2 linked regions of the Cricetulus griseus genome follow. The protein of the gene in region 1 purifies or fractionates together with the protein of each later gene. This does not show direct contact. Links are inferred from orthologs where the notes say so. Each region holds a gene or a part of one and is shown in the gene's direction. Other genes may lie near its edges.

The links. The genes of interacting proteins can lie anywhere in the genome.
Region 2: the proteins of Rps9 (region 1) and Ctcf purify together in Homo sapiens (affinity purification with mass spectrometry; 3 studies listed by BioGRID and IntAct, with this or other methods). This does not show direct contact. The link is inferred for Cricetulus griseus from reciprocal best matches to the Homo sapiens genes RPS9 and CTCF.

Annotation. Positions count from the first base shown.
Region 1 is NC_048602.1:21,628,018-21,631,990, forward strand, and holds the start of Rps9 (40S ribosomal protein S9), read left to right. Parts: upstream 1-1,173; 5' UTR 1,174-1,296; intron 1,297-1,519; 5' UTR 1,520-1,544; coding exon 1,545-1,641; intron 1,642-2,066; coding exon 2,067-2,189; intron 2,190-3,228; coding exon 3,229-3,415; intron 3,416-3,973. UniProt on the Homo sapiens protein: Component of the small ribosomal subunit. The ribosome is a large ribonucleoprotein complex responsible for the synthesis of proteins in the cell. Part of the small subunit (SSU) processome, first precursor of the small eukaryotic ribosomal subunit.
Region 2 is NC_048596.1:181,921,797-181,925,738, forward strand, and holds the start of Ctcf (transcriptional repressor CTCF), read left to right. Parts: upstream 1-1,142; 5' UTR 1,143-1,363; intron 1,364-3,942.

The DNA of each region.
Region 1 (3,973 bases):
TCTGCTAGCTCCAGGACATCCAGGACTAAGTAGAAAGACCAGTCTTGGCAGGGTAGTAGGGGGGGATCCCAACCAAACGAAAAAGAAAATATCTTCAGACTGAACTGAACTGGAATCCAGTTGCAGAGAAAGACGAGTGATGAGCCAAGGGGTCCAGACCAGGCTGGTGAAACCCACAGAAACAGCTGACCAGGGAACTCTTGCTCCCCAGACTGGTAGCTGGGATATCAGCATGGGACTGATCCAGACCCCAGGAACATGGGTTTCAGTGAGGAGACCTCGGAAATCTACAGGACCTCCTGCAATAGTTCAGTACTTATCCCTAGCCTAGGTGTGGACTTTGGGAGCCCATTCCACATAGAGCGATATTCCCTGAGCCAAGACACATGGGGGGGGGGGTGACCCTAGGCCCTATCCCAAAGGATATGACAGACTGATGACATCCTACGGAAGGCTTCACTCTCCAGGGGGAGCAGAAAGGATATGTGATAGGTAGGGTTTTACTTGGGGAGGGTGGTAGGGGAAGACGGGAGGGAGAGGGAACTGGGATTGACAAGTAAAACAATCTTGTTTCTAATTCAAATAAAAAAATCTGCAAAAAAAAAAAAGGAAAAGAAAAAGAAAAGAAAATATCTTCAGGAAAATGGGTTGTAATCCCATCATTTGGGAAGTTATCAGCAGCAGGAGGATTAGGAATTTATGGTCACTTGGGTGGGAAACCCTTTCTCAAAACAACAAATAAAATAGGAGAGACTCAGAGGCCAAGATGATGGGGGGGGTACGTTTTCTTATCTAAGAGTTCTTCTTTCTAGATATGTCTAGCTTTGCGTCAAGCTGAAAAAAACAAAACAAACAAACAAACCCAACAGGCACAAGGGCAAGCATATCTCACAGTGTAAGCCCAGCAGGGAGGCAGGCCCAGAGACCTACAATGCTAGCATTGCTGGGGAACCTTGGCAGCTGCCCTGGGTCTTTGTTAAAGCAAAAAAAACCAGCCACCGCAGTGCGTGGCGTCACCCTGCGTCTGTGCCCCAGCAGCGGCAGCCCACATAAATCCTTGGATTTATAACAAGGACGTCACCAGGGCCGGTGAGCCGCCTGAGGCTCACCGCACCGCTGAAGTCCGCCCAGCGCGGCGCCGCTCTGGCCCACCACCCGAGCCTCCGCTCTATCGCCTTCCCGCTTGTGATTGGCGGAGCCGCGAGCCGTGCGCGCTGACGTCACGGCCAGGCCACGCTGCTATAAAAGCGCGGCGCGGCGGCCGCGGGTCTCTTTGTCGCCGGCGTGAGTTCCGAGGTGAGCGTCGCGCGCGGGGTCCTCGGTGCCTTCGGCGGGGCTAGCGGAGCCATCCGGACACGCAGAGGGAGCGGGGCTGGAGGGAGGGCGGTCGGACGTGGTGACGGCAGCGTCTCCGAGAGCCGGGCCAGGCCGCGGTGTGCTGGGGCGCGCGCGGGGGGGGGGGGGAGTCACTGCGCATGCGCCACTGCTTTTTTTTTTAAACCTTATCCTTTGTGCGCAGGCGCGGCGGGCCCTGAGTCGCCACCATGCCGGTTGCCAGAAGTTGGGTTTGTCGCAAAACCTATGTCACCCCACGGAGGCCCTTCGAGAAGTCGCGTCTCGATCAGGAGCTGAAGCTGATAGGTGAGCAGCCAGGGTGGGGTTCAGATTGCGGGGAGGGATGATCGGAGAGGAGTTCGGTAGCCACGAGGTCGGCCCTCCCACGTGTGCTCGCCCTGGGCGCCGCGCAGGCTTGTGGCGGCCTGCATCGGTTTTGAGAGCCGAGTGTGGCCGATCGGTGCAAGTGTGATCGTTAACGCATCACCCTGGTCCCCGCCCACCCAGCGTGCAGGTGAGCGGCCAGGGTGGGGTTTCAGATGGCAGGGAGAGGAGGGAAGGGTGGCGATCGGGGAAGAGTTAGGTAGCCACCAGGGCTGCCCTCCCACGTGTGCTCGCCCTGGGCGCCGCGCAGGGGTGTGGCCTGCATCGGTTTTGAGTCCTGAGTGTGTGGCCGACGGATGCAAGTGTGATCGTTAACTAACGCATCACCCTGGTCCCCCGCCGTGCAGGAGAATACGGGCTCCGGAACAAGCGCGAGGTGTGGAGGGTCAAGTTTACCCTGGCCAAGATCCGCAAGGCCGCCCGGGAGCTGCTGACCCTGGACGAAAAGGACCCACGGCGTCTTTTCGAAGGTGCGTACCGGCCCGTCTGCAAAAGGGTGAGCGGTGGCGGGTGGGGCTGCAGAGTTCGCAGGCCGCACTGGTGGTCCCGGGAGGTACGGCGGTGGACACGGCTGCGCTAGCCTTGGGGGCAGTATCTGGTGGAGATTGGTCTTCCAACGTCCTGGAGTCTGGACTTTCCAGACTCTTGCAGGAGTGTGGGGCTTGCAGGTGTCAGGGCACGTCCCTTTGCTTAGGGGAGTTTGGGGAACAGATTGCTCCTTTGGGGTCAGTGACAGGAGAATGAATGGTAGATGAGGGTGGTCTGCGGTTTTCGTGAGCCGAAGTGAAGATTGTCCAGGCAGCCAGCCTCCCAGGGATGACTTTGGAGTGAAGCCATCTTTTTTTTTTTTTTTTTTTTTTTTTTTGGTTTTTCGAGACAGGGTTTCTCTGTAGCTTTGGAGCCTATCCTGGCACTCGCTCTGGAGACCAGGCTGGCCTCGAACTCACAGAGATCCGCCTGCCTCTGCCTCCCGAGTGCTTCTATTTAAAAGGCGTGCACCACCAACGCCCGCCTAAAACATCGTAATTTGAGTCTATTTTAGGGTGTTGAAATAACATAGATGGTGTACGTTTTTCTTTGGTTTGGTTCTTTATTCTTAGGGTTTCTTTCTAGGTGACTGGGCCTTCAGTTAGAGTAGATTTCTTTCAAACTCCTGGGAGAATAGATGTGAGTTTTTATTTATCTGGTGCTGTGTAGTCTAGATTATCTTTTGGTTTCCCCCAGTACTGTGATTGTTGTTGTGAAAGCAGCATGTTATCTTAGGTTGGGAGTGGAAGTTCCCATGGTAGTGGTGAGGGCTGAGTGACAGCCTGTGGTGAGATGCCTGCTGTTGAAAGGCTGATCCAGCGGCCGTGTCAGGGTCGAAACCAGGAGCTCATAGAAGGAAGGTTATCATTAGGCACATCGCTGTTTTTCCTGCGCTCCTTGCAAAAATGGATGACGGCTGTAGTGACCTTCCGGAGGCTCTGAGGTGAGGCCTGATCTGGGTCACACTCCTCCCTTCCCCAGGCAATGCCCTGCTGAGGCGACTTGTTCGCATTGGGGTGCTGGACGAGGGCAAGATGAAGCTGGATTACATCCTGGGCCTGAAGATTGAGGACTTCCTGGAGAGGCGGCTGCAGACCCAGGTCTTTAAGCTGGGCCTGGCCAAGTCCATCCACCACGCCCGAGTGCTCATCCGCCAGCGCCACATCAGGTAAGCTACAGCCAGGCCTGCCGGCCTACTCTACTTCCCTGTCTGCACTGTTGGTTCCTTTGCTAAGCTGCCGTCCCTATCTCCTGTGCAGCCTTCGGAGCTGACAGATCTGAGCTTACCCTGAGGGTTCAGAATGAAAGCTTGTGGGGGAATTGGGAACAGCCTTGTCTCCCCATAGCCCAGCGCAAGTGTCACTGCGGCTCAAGCCGTACACCTTGCGAAGGTCTCTGCCAGGCATGCCAGCAGCTGGACAGGTAATGGCTCTTGGTGCCCCCGTGGAGGGAGAGGATTGAGTCGATGCTGTTGGGGTGGTGCAGCTGTCATTGGAGCTTGGTGTCGGAGCTCCAACCCAGACCCGCACTGCTTTATTCCTATTTGTTAATGTGCCTGGCTGAAGGGACTGGGGCAAAGACTAGTTAGGGTGAGTGGAAACTGCCTGTTTTTCTGTAAATGATCACGGATCGTGAGAGCTGAACAGGTATAGGCTCAGGTTCTCACTCACCACCTTCATCTCTGGGCACAGATGTACTCTTGATGTCTGAGGTGGTTTGAGGCTTA
Region 2 (3,942 bases), on another chromosome or scaffold:
TTTCCCAGGATTTAGTCTTTTATCTTTCTGCTAAGTCGAGGGTCATATACTGACAGCCCTACAACAGTGGGCTAAAGTTTAAATAAGTTTAAAAACATCTTATTTAGTTACTAACATTTGACCATATGGATTTTACATACTTCCAAACCCAACTTTCTGATTCTTTTGGGGGAATAACAGTATCTGTTGATAATGGGCCAGCATCCCACAACACAGCATAGACACTGATAGAGCAGAAGCAGCTCCCTTGATGCATTTGTTATCCACATAGCTACAGCAAGAGGGTTGAGAATACAGTCCTAAGTCACATTCCAGTCGTGGGGGAAGAGGGGATCACTATAACATCTGGCAATAGGGCCCTTGTCAATTTACCATTGGTTGGGTAGGGTCCCCAGGCGCCTCCAGGGGAGAGGGAAGGGCTGAAGGATTTCACCAACTGGGGAACCTAACAGAAATAACATATTTTCACGGCGCCAAATACAGCTAAAGACGACTGAGGTGTCCTCGAGACACCCAGGAAGCCCTATCCTGGTCCTCTTAATTTCACACCCGGTTTTATAAGTCCCTTTTCTAGCTCACCAAAGCCACTGAGCAAAGACAGCCAGCTCTTCTAGCCGTCGATTTTGAGCACTGGACACTGTTGGGTAAGTGTGAAGGCGCGGGAACTCACTGGGTCTTACTCGGTAGCGGACCACAGTGCAGAGCTAAACCAGGGTTGGGCCCAGCTGGGTAGGGCCGAACCTTGGAGTCTCGTCCGACCCCACGGCCCAGCTCCGCGCGCTTAGTCCTCCCCCCCTTCACGGCTTTGGGGGAGAGAAAGAGCTAAAGAATCACAGCAACCAGGCGGAGATCCGACTGCCCAGAGGCCGCAAACCTCCGCCCAGGAAGCCCCACCCAACGGGAACCAGGACGCCTCCGCCTCAGCAAAGCCCACGCGCGACCGGGCGAGGGCGCGGAAGGGCGCGTGCGGCGTGACGACGCGACTCGCGGCGCATCTCGTGACGCCATCGCGCCTGCTTTTGAAAGTTGGCGCCCGGGGCCGCCTCCCATGCTGCCCTGCGCCAACCCCTCCCCTCACCTTTCCTCCCCCGCCCTCAACTCGCCGCCGGCCGGCCCCCCCCACCCGTCTCTTCCCTTATCAGCACCCGCGGCCCCGGCAGCGCCGACGCAGGCGCACTGCACCGCGCCGCCGCCATTTTGTGTCCGAGCCTGTGGAGCGATTAAACCGTGCGCGGAGCTGCTTCTTTGGCGGCAGCGGCGACAGTGGTAGCCAGTGCAGGCACGCGGAGCTGGCCGGGGACGCCAGGTGGCCGGAGCGGTGGAGCGGCGGCGGAGCGGGCGCCGCGGGGGGTGTGGCGCGAAGGTAAGGGGGCCCGGGGTGGAGGAGGTTTCGCGGGCCGCCTCTAGGTGTCACGATGGGGCCGCTCCGGTCGGCGCTGGCTGCAGCCCGGCGCCAGCGCCGCCGCCGGGGGGTGTTTGTCTCCCTCTACCGTCCCTGCTGCGGCGCGGCCGCCGCCATTGCCCGTCTCTGCCGCCAGGGCCTGGCCAACCCCCTCCACACCCGCCCGCTAGCTTCCCTCCTCCCAACATGGTAGGCCTCTGGCGGCGGTGGCGACAGAGGCCTGCGCGCTCGGCGACTCCATTTTCCTTCCTTTGTCTCTACCCTCGAGGCCGGCTTTTGGCCCGGCTGATCTTCAGGCCGCGGCCCGCCCTCTGCCCTCCGCCCCTCCCGCGAAAGGGGCCCTAACCGAGGCTGGACCTCTGAAGGCTGGGTTTTCGCGCTTGCCTCGCCTAGGGGTCTTAAGTCCTCTGCCGCCCGCGCGCAGCTAGGTCCCGGAACCGTGTGGGTGTCGGGTCCCTACCGACGCGCCTCGGACTGCCCCATCTTCCAGTCCACCCGGTCCCGGAACCTACCCGGCCGCCCTGAGTGCTTCTCCAGCAGCTGGAGTGCTCTCGAGTTTCTCCGAGAGTCCGATCATCGCCGCTGCTGGTCTCCGTCGCCGCCGAGTGGCGCAGGCGGCGCTGCTGTGGCTGCGATTAGAGGGACCCCTGAACTGCCGAGAGCTCCCTCTGCAAGGCTGGCTGAGCTGCTCGCGCCTCGACGCCGCCCGAGCGGGCGGGGGAACGCGCGCTCGCCGCCCCCGCCGGGCCCCGTTGCGCCCCCAAACTCCACGCCAGGGCATCGCGCGGGACCCGACCGGTGCGGCCCCCAATGGTGGGCGGAAAAGACAGAATTTCCGCACCAAAATAGTTTTTCCCCAGCTAGGTTCGCACTCTTGAGCCCGTTGGAATGATAGCAGTCAGACGTTGTGCGCTCAGAGATCGCAAAGGGACTGAAACTTAATTTCACTCAGATCTCAAGTGATGTGTTAAACTCCAAAAATCCGGAGCATGGGCTGGTTACGTTTGTACAAGCGACACTGGAGTTTGTCTCCGGTTTAAGATGTAACTTCGCACTCCACTTAGGACCTGATGCTCTGGGGCTAGGCTAAGATAGTTCAACCCCTTTGGGATTGTGCAACCCCATCTAAAGCGCCAATAGGGCAGAATGAACTTATTCTTGACTAGACTGGTAATTTGACTGTTCGATGAAATGTGAGGGCTGATGTTGTAATTGAATCTTGGGTCACTTGAAGCAGATGGTTTATAAATGTCTGTGTAACTAGTCTTTAGTAGCTGACTTCCTGTATTGGGTTTAGCATTAAGTAAACATCGGCATAGAGACAATACTTTTTGGAGTTTAGGTTAACTAAGAAAGCTAAAATTCCACGGCCTCCATAGGCAGGAAAAGAAATTTAACAGCATTTAAGTCCTGACTTAAATAAACTGACTTTTAAGTCCTTTGCATTAATCTGTTAAATTGCTGGAGTAACCTTTATGGTTCGACTGTTTCCCCCCAACTCCATAATTTATTACCAATTAGCTGCTGATGTGTGGCTAAGGTTCTTGAGTAGAAAAGAAAGTCTAGGTTGATATTTTTTTTTAAAGAAGATATTTAAGCTTATGAAGCATTTTAAAAATCTCCCTCCATCCCGACAGTTTATCTCTGTAGCCCTGGTTGGCCTCATACTTAGGAGATCCACCTGCCTCTGTCTCCCGAGTGCTGGGATTAGAGGTGTGCTCTGACATGCTCTGCTTGCTTTAAAAAAAAAAAAAAAAAAAAAGTGCTACACTCATCCCTGATTTCGAGACCAGCCAGGTCTACAAGAGTTAGTTCCAGGACAGCCTCCAAAGCCACAGAGAAACCCTGTCTCAGGGAAAAAGAAAAAAAAAAAAAAGTGTGATAATATGCGTGATCTCAATTTGTAGGCCCTGGCAACCCACGTTGTATGCAAATCTTTCAACACTCCCCAATGTTTATGCCATTCCTTCCCTCTCTCCCTTAAATGAACCTAGTATTCTTTGTGGCCTTACTAGCCACATTGAAATCCTACGCAACTTTGATTTTTGTGGTGGTTGTACATGTCTTGCAAATGTCCTACCTTTGAGGTATGTTCCCATTCAGCATCTCATCCCTTCTTTGAATTCTTCAGAATGTTCTTCCTCACCTTCCCCCACAATAAAATTTCACTGAGTAACTAAATGTAGTGGTATCAGCCTTTTGTAGAACCATCTTTCTTTTTCTAATATACTAGGCCCAGCTATGTAACTTATTGCATTCTTTTCAATTTTACTGTCAAGTGTACAAGTTCCCAGTGGTGGTATATGCTAGTACTTTCGAAGTAGTGGCAAGAGGATGGGGAGTTCAAGGTCATCCTTAGCTTTGTAGCAAATATGATACATGAGACTGCCTTAAAAGAGAGTAGTTGGAATTTGTTTTTAGTACTGGACCTTGAGTAAACTAGGCAAGTTATAAATCCCATTTTTATTAGCTGGGTGGTGGTGGCTCACACCTTTCATTCCAGCACTAAGGAGGCAGCAGCAGGTGGATTTCTGAGTTCG